Linked DNA regions of Rattus norvegicus. The protein of the gene in region 1 interacts with the protein of each later gene in a biochemical or structural test. Links are inferred from orthologs where the notes say so. Each region holds a gene or a part of one and is shown on either strand. Other genes may lie near its edges.

Region 1 (8,396 bases):
TAGCAATCAAACCCAAGGCCCTGCTCGTGCTACCTCCTGGCTTCACAGGTTCCCTCTAGACTCTTCAGCAACTGTGACTTTTAACTAAAGATACAGAAAGGCCAGGACTAAGGAAGATGGCCAGTCGACAGGATGTACATGGCACATGTGATGCAGACAAATCATCTTATGTTGAAAAACGCAGACATGGGGTCAGCAGTGTCCGCCATGGACTAAGACCTTCCTTCCCATGCCACTCTTTCCTGTAATACAGATTTCCCCTCGGCTCAGGGATGCACGTGGAGTGCAGAATGCAAAGGCAATACAAACAGCGTCTTGACCAGCCCCTCATGTTTCCTCAGAATAACCCATTCTCCCCGACTACTGCACACAGCACTTCTTCCTTTGGGATTGGCCAACAGGGTCAAGGACAGGGTGGCGTCCTAGGCAAACTGGCTGGTTTTTTGTTTGTTTTCTGCTCTTGTTGAAAGCTACAGAATATCCCTTTCTCTGAGCATCTTGAAATCGTCAGGCCCACATGTCAGTGACCATTTCTACAAAGTGCAACACATCACACTTAAAGTGCTACAGAAGTATCAATCAACCTGTCTCCTTCCTGTTTGCCTATCTAACAAAATGGAGTCATTATAGTGTATTGGAAATTATATATTAAGGAATGTTGGTTAACCAGTCACTCTTGCCAAGATCAGATATGAAGAGAAAACAAAAGCTGGCAACCACTCTAGCTCTGATATTTCTTTTCCAGAATCCTATTTAATAAGGTTAATCTTTTAAAAATACAGTAATTTCCCTCACCTAGTTTAAAACAAAACCTGGAGAGAAAGCCTAAGTACCAGAGCATGGGAACTCACTCAGGGCTAACTTCTGGGTCTACAGCTATGATTTTAGGGGATCACCTGCTCAGAGCAGATACCTTATTTAGGTTCATTATTAATGTTTTTATACCTCCCCTCCTGCAAAGGATCAGTGATTTGTATTTTTAGCCTAACAGCTTCTAAAAGGAAGTGAAACTGAGGCCTATGAGGAAGCAAGGGCGACTTATGAAATATCGCTACTTCTAAACAAAGCTAACATTAACTAGCACAGCATATCTTGCTCTTTCATGGGGCAGCAAATTGATAGTTTGGTTGAACCTACAAAAATAGGATAGAGTAATTATATCTGCCAAACTCACAATAGCCTGTTCAATGAAGAGCAACACTGTAATTTTTCTTCAAAGACGGTAAATAGGAAGGAAAAGCCCCTTATTCCCTAGTACAAGGGAAAATTCCAAACCCTTGGGCGCCACTTACAGGCACAGACTTTCACTGACTTATTTCACTGAAGGAGAGGGGGCAGACATACAATCTTTGACTTTAATGAATTTCCCATAATTTATCTTTCACGAATGTGTATTTTCTAAACTTTCAGTTTCTACATTCAAAGTTTAGAAACTGGATTAAAAACAAAAAAAAACAAACAAACAAACAAAAACCCCAAAACTACAATAGGTCTTCAGACACACAGAGGGGGTCTTTGGCTCTCTACTACTACAGAAAACAAACACAAAATATCAGTATTAAATCGTCCTCATCAAAGTATGCGTGTGAACTCCTTGAAAGAGGGGAACATAACATTCAATTGAGATTTTATATGATTGCCTTATAATCATTTCCCCAAGATCTTAAATGATAAAATAATAAGGCATCGTAACAGGCAACCCAAAACACATGACAATATCTTTGTATAACCTCTTCTTCATGTTGTAAGTTCTATACCAGCAGATTTGAAATGAATTTCAAACCAGTGCTACAAAAACTGGAGGGGCTGTTGGTATTATTTCAAAAAGATAGATACCCTATATTTTACCGCAAATGAAATTATCACATGTAACATTTGAGATGCACCAACAGAATTCCAGCTAACAGTATTTATTTTAATAACAACCTTTACAATTATAAACCCTCCTTAAGGAGAGGAAAGAGAATGCGAAAATTAAGCACAGATTACTCAGGTATTCAATCCCTCCTGCCCTCACCTTCATCCTCCAATTTCGAGTCTACAGGGAACACTAAAGTTCTATATATCACTTTTGCAGTTGTTGCTCTCATGCTATATTCATAGGCCATAACATTGACTTTGTAAATGCTGAAGTGCGGCCAGCTGTATTACCATATAGGAAAAAAAAATCAGGTCTCACAAAACTAGAGAAAATTAATTCCTCCAAGTTTAAGTTAGTGTTTTTTGCTTCCGTCTGCAGTTGATCTGTAGTAAGAGTTGCCACCTAGGAATTATTCTGGTAATGTTTTAATCTAATCTGCACAAAAACAGGAAACCCTAGAGGAAGATACGTGTACAAGTGCACACAGAAAGCTGCAGTAGGGCTGGCTGCTGCCTACCTTCCTCCCCATTCTGCCAGAGCCCAGGAGTCAGCACACTTTTTACTACGGGGGGGTGGGGGGAGGAAAAACGACCTCCAAGTAATAAACGGACCGTGATTTTAAACAAGCCAGAGCACCAAAGGGGGTCAAATTACTTTAGATAACTAACCGAAACCAAGGATTCCTACTGTCAGATTCGACACACAATAAAACACTCTCCACCCATAGTAAACGTCAAGAAATTCTACGGGGCCACCGGGTGACTATCACGAAAACATATCCAGCAACTTCACACACCCAACAAGATTTTATGCTTTTGTGTATTTTCATCAGAATTTTTAAAAGTATCATATACTTAAAAAGAATTTCCTCTAACAGAAAATTTTCCAGTAGCCAAAAAAGGGCGAGGCCAAAGAGCCGTTGGTGTAAACTATCTTACGCACATCCTACTTCTGGTGCACCGGAAGACCCCTGCGAGCGAAGCCGCAGCCCCGCACCGTCCCTGTCCCCGCCACGCAGCGGGGCTGCGGGGCGCAGTCCCCACAGCTTTGAAGCTGAATGGCTGACACATCCGGTCCTGGATCCTACAGCATTCCGCCAAACGCTAACTTCAAAGGCGGATTCAAACTCCCAGCGCTCTAGCCTCCGAGGTGCGGTAGGAATTCCCAGGGACACGCAGTGAGGGAAGCCACGGAGTCCCCGCAGACCCGGCGGTCCAGCGAGCCCGCAGCGTCTGCCCGCGTCGCTTTGACAGGCGTTCCCCGCAGTCCCCGGAATCCCCCGGCCGCCTGGGGAGCGTCGCATAAGCCCGGCCCGGTACCTGCGGGCGGGCACGCGTCCCCGTGGGGCCCAGGGGCTCTATCCTGTCACAGGGCGCAGACCCACCGCCGTCACCTCCGCCCTCCGGGCTCCCCACTCACAGCGCGCCGTGGGGGCTCTCAGGACCCGGCCCCGGGAGCCCCGCACGTCCGCGGTTTGCACGCCTGTCACATGTCCGCAAACAATAACAAACTCTCCCGCACGCTCCCGTCCTGTCCCCACGCCGTCCCGGGCGCCGCCCGACCTTCAGGGCTCGGGGGCGCGGGGCCCCACGAGCGGAGCCCCGGGAGCCGCGCTCCGTCCTCGCTTCATTCATTGCCCGCCCGGCCCGGCCCGCCGCTCACCCGGAGGGGGCCGCTGCAGAGGGCGGCTCGGCCCCCGCGGGGCTCCGGGCGCCGCTGTCCCGCGCGGCCGCCAGCTCGGCAGAGTGGGAGCCGCAGCGACTCGCTGCTCCCGGGGGTGGCGGTCCCGCCGCAGGCTGGAAGCCACTCGCTCCTGCAGCCGCGTCCGCGGGCTCCGGCGACGGGGAAGTAGATGGGCAGGGCGGCGAGGCGGTGAGGAAGAGCGGCTGCTCCGGCAGCTGGTCCAGCTCCACACTCCTCACTTTGCGCAGCTGCTGCCGCCGCCAGTCCGCGCGCTCGCGGCCCGCGCTGCCAGTCTCCCGCAGCAGCCCCGCGCCCGCTGCGGGCGCGCCGCTTCCCTGGAGAGCTCCGCCGCCGCCGCCCGCCTCGGGGCTCGCCGCCGCGGCGCCCGGGAATCCCGACGACGAGGCGCGATCGCCCGCCGCCGCCGCCATTTTCTCTCGCGGGCTACATTCGCTCGTGCCTGCGGGGGAGGGAGGGGGCGGGGAGAGCGCGGGGGGCGGGCGGAGCGGCGGGCGCGCGCGCTGCGCCGAGTGCGCGGGCGCGAGCGGGAGCGGGGCCGCGTCTCCTGTCTCGGGAGCACGGAGCGGCGGGCGCGCGGCGCAGGTGGGAGGGCAGGGGCTCTGCTGGGGCCGCGCGGGGCGCTGTGCGCTGCACCCGGGCAGCTGCCAGGTAGTACGGGGCGGGGCAGCGGCTCGGCCGGAGCTCGTCCACCCTTGAGCAAGCAGTAATTGGGGCGTGAGTCCCTGGTGCTGGAAGGGGACGCAAGCCGGAGGACTCACGGTCGGTCACTTCACGCTCTCAGTAGCGGGCGCTGGGGGCCCGGCGCGCACCAGCCTGGCCCGCGCCCGAAGCGCAGGTGGCGCCCGGGACTGTCGCCTGCTGCAGACAGACGCGAAGCCTTCTCTTTGGAAAGCAGACCTCTTGTCCCGCCCTGGTGTCACAAATAACACTACTTAAGATTTCCTGTGCTACCTTGTGCACATCTGAGGCCGCTGGTTTGGGACACCCTCCCTCCTCCCACCGGCTATGCAAAAGGACCAACCCGGGTGCTCTGCCAGAGGTTACTCCCCCGTCTTGGAAAGGCAGCCTCCGACCGAAAGCGGGAGAGCACGTCTAGGGAAAGAGCCAGCGCTCTGCCAGGAAGCGCTGGATCTTGCCATCTTCTACCAGGTCTCCCCACCCCCCTCAGATGCTCCCAGCTGCACGTCCCTCTTCCTGGCAGTCAGGTGACAGGCCGGGTTCCTGGGTCCCCCCTTCCCCCACCGCCGCCGCTCCCAGGTTGTCCTATGTAGCGTCCCTCGCCTCTCTCCTGCCTGGGAGTCTTTTTAGAAAAGGTGCTGGGGATAGAGAAGCTGTAAATATATGGGAATTCCCACCCCACCCCTTTTCAACGGGATGGAGCTGCCATGTCGCCCGTATCTCCCCCTCCTCTGCTACTTCTTTTCCTCCGCCTATTTGTCTAGACTAGGCAATCTTTCAGAACCCCGGACCTCTAGATTTAATTTTTGAAACATTAAGACATGAGGCGTGGGGGAGGGGTAAGAAGGGTTTTCGTCTTACAGTAAAAGGAGAGATCTCGCCTGCATTTAAACAAAAGCCTGAACTATCTCAAAATAATTCATTTAACGTCTCCAAAGTAGATCTAATGAAGCCCTCCTTAGGTGTGTAATGTCAGCTGGAGAGCAAGAAAGGGGTTTTTATTTTTTTTTAAAGGATCCTGACTTCAATGTAAGCTCCGTGTTATGCTGAGTGCTACAACATCTGGCAGGCTATAGTTTTTGATGGTTACATTAAAAGGTACACATTTTGAAAGTTTAGATTAGTCTGTTCAAGATTTGGGTCTCCATTTAGGCTATAATTATATGCTCTTTTAATAGTAGACAAGCGTAACATCCAAACCAAACAGTAGTTATTTCCTAGGTCTTCCTAGATTGCCACACCCACCAAATTCTAAATCGAAAAGGATTAGCTTTTCTGGTTTCTACTGAGATCTAAAATAAACTTTAAATTGGCACACTCATAGTTAGGTACCTGTAAGTGAGAAAAGCCACTGCAGACCCTTCTTAGCCTTTGTCTCTATCTTTGGACCAGCTTTGGAAGTTTGGCCTGAATAATAAAGTTTTTTTTTTTTTAAAGGAAATTCCAGCAAAAAGTGACTTTTGCCTCTTTATTTGTATGGTGTTTGTTTGAAAATGAGGGTGGGCATCAAATGAAGCACAGCTGACTAACTGCCGTGCTCTGGCCTCCACATACCGCATCAGTCTATGAAGACTATTAAGACCTTTTGAATCGCATTTCCTTTTGTCTTTTATGGACATAATTCTGCTGTCATTATGCTCCTATACACAGACACACAGTTTTCTTTCAGAGATAAATAATCAAAGGGCCCAATCGACTAAGGAAGTCAGCTCCCTGCTATATACATCCATATAAAGTCTCCTTTGAAAGCAGTTAACTGGATAGGTCCTACCCAACTTTGTGAGTCGTAGGTATGGTTAAGTGGGCCCCTCCCCATCGACACACACCCACCCCACCCCACCCCACCTCCACCTGGATCCTGGAGCTCTTTGGGTCCTCTGTTGTATTTCTGCAGAAGCACATGCCAAATGGCAGGCTGCTGTAGGCTCCGCCTGCCTTAAAGTGATTCCATTTCCCCTCTTTTCTCCGCAGGTATGGTTCTCATTCCTGCTTGGACTTAAACTTAGCAGTGATTTCCCGTACACTGTAGCAGTTTCAGTAACTTTTACCAGAGCTTTCCAGGTCACCGCTCCCACAGAGTGCTGCCAGGAACGGCCTGGGTCACACTTGAGCTGCTCCACCAAGTTCATTTGGAGGCTAAACACAGGGCATTTCCTCATCGAGCATGAATATCACGATGTTAAGATGAAAAGGCGTATGTACTGGCAGGGTATTCCCGCTCGCATGTCGTTCCGCTCGTATTTACTGAGCGCCTCCTTTGCACACACCAGGTATTCTATTCCCCTCAGATTGTTGTTTTAATAATTGTTATTAATTATTGATATGAATATATAACCAATGTCCTTAACAGTCGTCCTAATCTCATCGACTGTTTTAACGGAATAGAGCGTTTTCACCCTACACATATTTTTATCAGTGGGTATTTGTCAGGCTGGTTGACAGATTTTCAGACCATGGTTGTGTGAAGGTGCTCATGCGAGATCTATGTCTGAGGAAGATAGTTACAAGTAGGAATGAGTGGCTAGAGAGGTGACTCAAGTAAGAGCCTTTGCTGCTTTTCCAGAACATCTGAGCATGGGTTTCTAGCACCCAGCTCACAATCACTTCAGACTCCAGCTCCAGGAAAGCTGACACCCTCTCTGGCTCTCTTGGGCACCTGCGCACACAGCCGTTACATGTGCACACACATAAGTAAAGATAAGACTTAAAAAAGAATATAACCTTGAGGGTAAAACAAAAGCTGGAATTTTTGGCATGCTTATAAATACTTATTTTGGACACTTGCTAGAGAAGTGAAGCTAGGTCTTGCTTTCTTCATGCCCCCCCCCCCCCCCCGGTATCACCAGGTGATTCCAGATGTTTTAAGTCATCTATGGGCACTGTAGGTGACATTAAAGTAGCAAATTTCCTATGTAGTGTCACATGGCCAGCTCATCCAGTTGCACATACTAGCTGATACTGGTGTGCCGGTGTACCATGCAACCTGCTAAGGAAACCCACAGCACAGCAGACACTCACAGCCCGTGCTAGCGTGTCCTTGTATACTGTTCACCCTGGGGGAGTCACAGGGCCCTCGAGAACCCAGTGACGTTGTCAAGCCCAACCACTCTTGTGAAATTTAATAAGACGTCATTCAATTGGTTATTAGATCAATACAATGTGAGTATGAGTGAAAATTGGAAATTGTTCCAACGAAAACTGAACTAAGTGCTTCGAAGAACGAATGGGGTCAGGACATGGAAACCATTCTCTGTCAGAAAGTCATGCTTATGGCCATTATAAGGAAGGTGAGGAAGAGGGTATCCCTCTTTAGACAATTAGACAAATGTACTTTTCAAGTATCCATGGTTGCTAGCTTTAGTGACCGTGCCACTTGCAGACAGGGTGAATTGTGAGGACACATGGAGGTATTAACAGAGGCCCTCTACCCTAAAAAGCAAGGCCCTGTCACCAAATCCCAACCCCACGCCTGCAAACGGAACACAGCAAAGCCTGCTGTTTACACGAGAGTGAAGTGGCTAAGATACGTGTATGCGTGTGATTACCTTTGAGTAAGGCGCGTCTAGGGACTTTTCACGAGTTTACCAGTACCGTAATAGAACCAGTAATAAAAATGATAAAAATAAAACATTTTACGATACTCAAATCAGGAGGTTTTAAGTTTAAGGATAAAGTGAGAATTTATTAATCTTTTCCAAGGTCTAGGGTCTCATGGGGGAGGTAACTCAGGCTGTCCTGAAATTCACTGTGCAGACCAGGCTGGCGTCAAACTCACAGAGATCCACTTGCCTCTGCCTCTGGAGTGCTGGGACTAAAGGCATGGGCCACCGTGTTAGGCTGGAAATTTATTAAGTTTAATCATTCCTCTTAGCAAAAATTTACCCTTTCTAATCTGCCCCAAGTCTTCAAATCGTTTGAATGAGTAACATTGGTTACTGATGTAGAGCGGTTTGTTTGTTGGCTTTGAGAGTCTTGTTTGATAGCCCAGGGTGGGTTCAAATTCCTTATCCTCCTGCCCTCCCCCTTCTAGGTGCTGTAACCACAGGCATCATCATCATGTCCTGTGGTTGCCTTTTTTTTTTTCTTGCACAACTTGAGGCCAAAAATGTGAATAAGGTACACAATATTGGCATCACCGGAAGAATAATATTTA
Region 2 (8,350 bases), on another chromosome or scaffold:
TATTTATAGTATTTTATGATGTAAGACATATTCACACACATTAATGTGATTCTTAAAATAGTCTCTATATAAGCTATGTATCTTCTCTTTCAATGGATGAGAAATTAGGGGAAATTAGAAAAATCCAGTCATTTCCCAAGGGTGCGGAGTGTGCATAAGGCACACTCTAAACCTTGGTTTTTCCTAGTCCAAACACAGCATCCTTCCAACTTTGAAGTCTTGTTTCTAAGACACTGACTGCTCTATGCAGAGGTAAAGCCACTAGCACAGAAGAAATCATCTTGCTGTGTTTTCATTGTTGAAGATGCTCAACTCTCAGCTGGACAGCTTTATTCACCAGAGTATCTGTTACTCTCTAGCATGCCCATGGTGACTTTATGGAACATTAGGGCCCATACTTATGCCCAGCTCCCCTGAGATTGAGCACCTGATATACTTCCACTGACTTGGCTAAATTCCTGGGCTTTTACAAGATACCACTACAAAGTCTCTTGAATATTAAGAAGGCAATTATGCATTTTTAAGTTCACTAAAATTTCTTGGGCTGAATTATTACACTATTACACAGTACCATACCATGCAAGAAGCCTCAGTTAAATTAGTCTGTGATGACAAATTATCACGGAAATGGTTTTTCAAACTCTCAATTATTTGGGAAATACTTTTTTCAATTTCTAAGTAAATATTAAGATTTAAGGCCAATTTAATAATAGCTCATTTGAATATTTCTTCCTCAAAAAAGGCATATTTTAATGTCTAATATATTTTTATAATACTATTTACCCAACCTGGCAAGCAGATCTACATTTTGATAGTTTTACTCACCAAATAATCAAAGGAGGAATGGGGGTGGGGATGGGGAGAGGCATATTCAGCTTGTAAATGTTTGTACGTCTGTATATGGGCATGAGGAAGTTCAAAAACAAAGTGAGTCAGAATGAATGAAAGCTCGAACATATGAGTAATAGCAAAATCAGATACTATTCTCTAATAGCTGAGACTCTGTGGGAAGAATGCTTTAACAATGGCCAAATCAGAAGTATAACTGCTCTGTGAAAATGTAACAAAATGAACAAATGATGACTGTTAAGAAGCCAAGGTTGCTACAATTCCCACTCCAGCCACCCATAGCCCACAGCCCATTTACAGCTACAAGAGTACCTCAAACACATCATCATTTGAGAATCTCAGATCCAGAAACCAACAAGGATTTAAAGTTTGAAGTTGAACAAACTCTTCTCTGGAATTCTAAAAATAGGGTCCCTTAGAAGTGAAATATAGTAACATCAGCAGGTTAGAAGAAGTGTCCAACCCACAGACAATAAAAGCTAGAAAAGGAAATGTGTAAGTTGGTCACAGGAGGCTAGAGACACTTGGGATAAAGAGATAGGGACCAGGGGAAATAACAGATGAAAATGTTGATGGCCAACATGCATGGCCTCTTTACTGTATGCCAAGTCTCATGCTTTGTATGCATTATCCTTGTGCCTGTGGAACAGGCATTATTCTTACTTTCCAAGTAAGAAACACAGGTTCAGAGAGGCTAAACACTATACTCACAAAAAGCTTAAGTCCTGGTGAGGTGAATGAGGATGGGATCCACTCTCAGGATTCCAGAGCTCTGGCCATTAAGCATTACAGTATAATGGAAATAATGTTTCCAGTTTTGTATCACAGTTGGGTCACAGATGTCAAGCCATGAAACACCACAAAGCCCTTTGGTCAAGCAAAGTACCTATCCTCCTGGATATGGTTCAAAGACTGCTGAACCATAATCCTATGTCCTTAAACCTGAATCTGCTGGTCAATGAGACCCGACAATGAACAACTCCAAGAAAGGCAGTCTTTTGAGTAGCAAGATTATGAAATGGGAGGCAGCCTGGGAAATACAGGGGGACCTCATCTCAAGAAGAATAAATAAAAATAAAACCAAAGAAAGACACTGGTTAAAAAAAAATGAGTAGTTTGGCTCAAACCTAGAAAAAAATTAATTTGCTGCTTAAGCCCAAGGTTCTTGATTCAGATTGCACTATACAACACCTTAAACATTTCTTTATTCTGAGCCGTCAAAACAGGTTCAAAACACAGGATAGAACTGACATGCTCTAGCCTCAAGTAAAGACATATCAGTAAAGATAAAAACAAAAACAAAACAAGGGCTGGAGAAGTGGCTCGGTGGTTAAGAACACTTGTTGCTTTTGCAAGAGGGCCAGGTTTGATTCCCAGCACCCACTTGGTAGCTCAGAGCCATCTATAAAGCGAGCCCCAGGGGTTTGATGACCTCTTCTGACCTTTCCAGCATCAAGCATTCATGTAATAGTCATACATACATACATACATACATACATACATACATACATACATACATACATGCAAAACATTCTTTCTCCCCCCCACCTCTAAAAAAATCAGCAATAATTCCAAGACAGTTTAGGGCCCTTTTAAGAAGGGTTCCAGATATCAAAAAGCAGAGAAGGAGATTAAAGAACACCAGAATCACTGACTATGTGACTCTGAGTTCCTAGACAGTCTCCCCTCTTCACTGTTCTCACTGCCTAGGCCCCATCTCTGTTCTTTCCAGACAGTCTTTCTCTGTCATCTTATCAAAGAGACGGCCCAGTTATCTTCTATCACAAAACCCAGCTGTTGCTTTCATTTTTCTTAAGCAATTTCTCCTGTTTACCTCCATGTCTTCCCTCCTCCACCCTCACAGGGACATGCCCCACCAGAGATGAGACAGCTGGGTTCACTGTCTCTACACACTCAAAACGGAGCTCTATGCTGGCTCTAAGCAGTTGCTCAGTATTTTCTGAACAAGAAAAAAAATGTATACAGGTTTTTCGAACTGTCAGCCTCTTCTCTCCAAACACACACACACACACACACACACACACACACACACACACAAACACACACTCAATCTTGAAATGTATACATTGTTTTACTGAGTTATTTATTGTGTATTCAAGTGTAGAAGTCAGAGGACAACTTGAGGAAATCAGTTCTCTTTGCCATGTAAGTCCCAAGGATTGAACTCAAATCAGGCTCTGTCACTACCCTTAAAATATTTAAACTTTAAATCACACCCATTGTGGGCAGGGCAAAAGAGAGGATAAACTCAAATTATCTTAACAAATAATAAAGGTATGATATCAAGAAAATCCATCTTGTATTCTGTGCAATGTGCTATGGAGCACAGCAGGCATCCACTAACGACATTTGAATTAATTAGCTTAGGACCTGCACAGAATATATCTTCTGACTGAAGTGCACGATCTGGTTATATATTATCCCACAAATTTTTCTTATGGGAAGGGATATAAATACAAATCGTATTTCTGCTGCCCAAATCATGGTATGCTGTCATTAAACACGAAATATTCAACATATAATCTGTTGAACTTCACTAGACACAAGGAGCCCTTTATGAAGAGTTTAACCAAAAAGAAAACATGGTCATACTGATACCAAGGATATCCAAACGACTCTAATAATGCAGCATAAGTCGTTTGCTAAAGTTGTCAAGAGATTTCTGGGCTTGCCTGTGTCAATAGCCCCAGTAAACTTAAGAAATGGACTCGGGCCTGTTATTTTCACAACACCCCCTGTCAAAACCCACACAGAGCTCCTAAGGCCTCTCCGGGAGAAAAGGCCATTACAGGAAAGCTGCCTCAGATGCCCAGACATGATCACTTTGACCTCTGCCATTCGGTTTCCTGAATCTCTCTCCCTTTCAGCCGAACTCCGTCTATTTTTATCTGATTTTCTTTTCTGTATGAGAGGATAACACACATCTCGGGCCTCGGTCGAAACGCCTCTCCCGGGCCAATGGCTGTCTATCCACCTTACAGGTGGCACAGAGCCTCGCAAACCCCCGCCCCTCCCACGCAGACACCCTGCAAAGTTTTGGGGACCGGGGGACAGCGCGGTGGCCCTATTCCAGCGGCGCACCGTGAGGCGCAAGATGGCCCTGAGCCGGCCCCACTGCGGCGCGCGGGGGCGGCGGGGCCGAGGGCCGGGACGCGGCCGACCTGCAAGTCAGAGGCCCCGCCGCGAGCGTTCCGGGAGTCCGCGGGCGCCAGGTGAGCTGCGGGCGGGGGCGGCCAGGTGGGCCTGAGCCCGCGGGGCCAGAGCCGCCACAGCGCTCACCGAAACCCGGCCGGGGATGAGGAGCCCGGGGCGAGGCCGGGCCCGGGACGCGGAGCTCGGGCGGCTTCCTCAGACAGCCCCGGGGACGCAGCGGCTCACAGGCCGCGGCTCGGCCAAGCGCCTCGCGAGGGGCCCCAGAGTCTCGGCGCGCCCGCTGTCCTTACCCTGCATGCTGCTGACCGCCGGGTGGCCAGAAGCTGGAGGCCCGATGGGCCCCGGGGTGCCGCCACCGCCCCCGGAGCCGCCGCCGCCGCTCGGGCTCGGAGCCGCCATTGTTGGAAATGAGGAGCCGAGCGGCGCCGCGGCGGCTGCAATGCAGCAAGCTCGGCCTCTCGCCCCGCTGAGGGCGCGGCGTGCGCCGCCTTGGCCACGCCCCGGACACGCCTCCGTCACGCCCCCGTGCACACCCCCACCAGCGCTGACGCGCAGCCTGCAATACAGGTTGAGCTGCAACACCCAGAACTAAGGGCTGGGCCTGCAGTCTTGAATCAGGGTGGCCCTCTACCTACCCCCCAGGGACCCACAGTGGCTTGCAGAATCAAAAATATATGTGCATTGAGGGGAGGGAAAGACTTATGGCCCCAAAGCTTTAGAACTCCCTTCTCCGAACCTCAGAACCCAAAATCAGAACAGTAGCGCTCTAAGAGATCTCAGAAGTCATGCTTCCTGTCCAGTCTCTGATCCACCATTACAGAAGAAGCAGCAATAGCTGTGGTCTCAGCCCAATGCTCTCTGTCCTGCTGGAGGCTGACAGGAGTACTTCGCGGAAAATAAGTATCACAATCCAAAAGGAAAAGTTCCGGTGTCGGTTACCAGCCCAGAATGCACACTAAATATTTTGTTAATTTATTCTGTGTGGGAAGAGAACAGCAAACAACAAAAGGAGAGGCTGTGGTGGCCTTCAAACATATCTCTTTTTCAAGCACAGGTCAGAAGGTGGCTTTCTTTGAAGAAGGTTATACTTTAGGTCCAGGAGAAGAATCAAAAATCATAAAGCAGACCAAGGCGACACATGCCTTTAATCCCAGTACTTAGGAGGCATATCTCTTTGAGGTTTTTTGGTCAAGCTGGTTTATGGACAAGTTCCAGAATCTTCTCTACAGCTTTTTTTAGGGATGAAAAAAATCAAATAAAATACTTCTTCCAAACAAATTGCCATATTAGAAAACATGGATGTACACAAAAGAAAAAAACAATACAATATAGTTGTATATTTCTTTTGGCTTGGACACTTTAACATGCAGGCTCCATAATTTGCTAGCAATGTATCAGGTCCTGTCATTACTCTAGACCCAGTGTATCATGACATTTGACTTGCCGGGAAAGTATCCCAGCCCGCTCTAGCATCACTATGGTTTGTGAGTGTCATTTCCACAGTTTCTTGGGGGCTGGAGCAATGTAAAGAAATATTTTAGAGGAATTTGAATTTCCCTGTTTCCGTAGCACCATGAGCTTCCCACTTCCTGTCTTTGGTGTGAATAATAAATATAATAATAAATATGTTTCCAGTCCTATGGAAAGTGCTTTTGTAAATCCCTTCCCCTTCCAACAAGTTTATAGTTCTTTAATAACATATATATCATATTATAAGTATATGCACTATATACATTATATACTATATAATATAAAATATAAATTCTAAAATATGTGTTATGTTAGCTATATGTAATATATTACAAAATATATAAGATATTTATTATACAATATGGTATATGATAGTACAATATATTATTATGTTACATTATATATTTTATTTTGTTATATATTATTTATATGTGTGTGTGTGTGTGTGTGTGTGTGTGTGTGTGTGTGTGTGTACCAATCTCTTAAAGACATTACCAGAGTCTGGATGGATGCTAAAAGATATTATTGTTTCCAATATTGCCCTAGAGGGTATATAGGTCATACAAAAGGACTTTAATCAGGTTAAGCAAATACTGAGCCACTATAGTTAAATGAACATGAATGAGAAAAACAAGTAACAAAGAAACCTAAAGAAAACATTCAACCCAGCAAGTTCTTGAGGGTAAGAGAAATGAAGGGGTGTGAACCCAGCCAAGCTATTTGTGTAATGTTGGGCTTGTGATAAATCTGGCCTGGATTTGCATCACTGTTGGTACTGTAAACTGACAGATAAGGACTGAGAACAAGGACTTCTGATTAAATCTACACGTGGGCAGAAACAAGACAGGACTTTGACTTCTTAAAGCTCTTGAAGCTGTGTGCATGCCTTTTACTTGTTCTCATGTTCCTACTTTTCTTGTAAGCTTCTGTGTTGTGTTCATGCTAGACTGAGTTGAATTCCTAAGAATTCATTTGTTGAAGTCCTAAGCCCTGGTGCTGTGACAGGGACTGTGTTTGAAGATGATACGGTCCATGAGGAGATTGGTAAGACTGAAGAGGTAGTGAAGGCTGGTGTTCTTATCATGAGATGGTGGGAGGACACACAGGGGAAGGATCCACACGAGGAAACTAGAAGATGGGGATCAACAAGCCAAGAAGAGAAACCACATTGTGCCACATCTTGATCTCACAGTTATGAGCAAACAAATTCCTGTTGCTTAAGCTAGCTGCCTGTGGTACTTTGTTATGGCAGCCATAGAAAACTAACATTGTATATGGCTTTTAACAATAAATGTCTCAAAGGAAGCTTAGAATTTGGAGTAATAATAGTAGTGGCTATCATAATTTGGGGAGAGGGGGGAGGACAATTAGGCAATGTGTATTAAACCCCAGAAAAATCCTGTTTATAAACCAATGTACGGAATTTCTGCATGGGCCTGGAAGTCCAGACTGCTGTGCAACCAGAGAATTGGAATGGCATTAAGTCTACTGCTTTGAGTAATGCATGGTGAGAGCAAGGTGCCTTAAGAGAAGCTACAGAGAAAGAGTCATGTTTGCCTAGCACCTGATTCAGGAAACTTGGTTGCAAAATCTAGTTTGCTGCTTCTTTTTGGTTCATCTCTCAACGTCAATGGTTAGATTAAGAGGAGAGTTTTAGGGGCTGGAGATACAACTTAGCAGTGAAAAACATTTGTTTTTCTCACAGAAAACCTGGGTTTGATTCCCAGTGCCATCATGGTCCCTCATAACCATCTGTAATGGAATCTGACACCCTCTTCTGACCTCGGCTTGCCCCAAGCATGCACATGCTACACACACATATGTGCAAGCAAAACACTCATACACAGAAAATAAAATAAGTCTTAAACATCTTGATTAAAAAAGGACACATTTTCACTTTATATTCCAAATAAAACAAGAGTAATTTCGGATGGATTTCACCTTAGGACCCCATTTCGACATCTGGAAAAGTAATAAGAGGTTTAGAAACATCCCCGGGGGATGGCTAACAGAGTCAACAGACATTTCCTGTAAGTGTCCCACAAACTACTTTCTGAAAAACCCATCTCCTTTCTTCCCAAAGTCATCAAGAGCTTATGACCAGGCCATTGCATTGTCCATGTGGCCTCTTCAGGCACAATGAACTGTGTGGTTTCTGGGTACCATTTGAGCAGCTTGTCAACTGGAAACATAGTGCATGAGAGAAACTTTGACCCATCCTACCACCAGAAAAGCTGGCACTTCAGCCAGAGTCAGATGGCCGTTCAAATGATATTACTAACATTGCCAATAACCATGCATCTGTGTAGAACTGCAGGCAAATGCTTATCATGGCACTGCTTGTAATAATAAAAATGAAAGTCTTGAAACTCTAGGTCTTACCACCAAGAGAAAAGTAATATTGGCAGCGCTGGCTATGGTGTGACCAGATACCAATGTACTTCAAAAGGATGTGATTTTATTCTACCAGAACTACATCCACACCCAGCCCTCAGAATCTGTGTCCTATTTCTCTGACTTCACTTTTAAAAGGAGAGGGATGCTGAGTGCTGTAAGGGATGTCTGTATCCCAGAACTCTGGAAGGACAGTTAAGGCAGGAAGATTGTGAATTCCAGCCGGCCTGGGGTAGAAGGGGGAAACTGCCTCAAGCAGAAAGAAGGGGACGAGGAACTGTATCAAAAAGAAGAGGGGAGAAAGGATAAGAGGAGGAAGGGAGGGGAAGAAGGAAAGGAGGCGAGGAAGTGAGGAAGGAAGGAAGGAAGGAAGGAAGGAAGGAAGGAAGGAAGGAAGAGGAGGGACACAAGAAGAGTCAAGTGAAATGAAACCCCATCATGGCATTATCCCAGCACTGGGAGT

Evidence for each region.
Region 2: of the proteins of Map3k1 (region 1) and Map2k4, one has a biochemical effect on the other in vitro, tested with the Homo sapiens proteins (7 studies listed by BioGRID and IntAct, with this or other methods). The link is inferred for Rattus norvegicus from reciprocal best matches to the Homo sapiens genes MAP3K1 and MAP2K4.

What each region holds. Positions count from the first base shown.
Region 1 is NC_086020.1:45,143,297-45,151,692, forward strand, and holds the start of Map3k1 (mitogen-activated protein kinase kinase kinase 1), read right to left. Parts: upstream 4,723-8,396; 5' UTR 4,587-4,722; exon of another isoform or gene 4,476-4,586; 5' UTR 3,976-4,475; coding exon 3,524-3,975; intron 1-3,523. UniProt on the Homo sapiens protein: Component of a protein kinase signal transduction cascade. Activates the ERK and JNK kinase pathways by phosphorylation of MAP2K1 and MAP2K4. May phosphorylate the MAPK8/JNK1 kinase.
Region 2 is NC_086028.1:50,942,565-50,950,914, forward strand, and holds the start of Map2k4 (dual specificity mitogen-activated protein kinase kinase 4), read right to left. Parts: upstream 4,476-8,350; 5' UTR 4,423-4,475; coding exon 4,314-4,422; intron 1-4,313. UniProt on the Homo sapiens protein: Dual specificity protein kinase which acts as an essential component of the MAP kinase signal transduction pathway. Essential component of the stress-activated protein kinase/c-Jun N-terminal kinase (SAP/JNK) signaling pathway.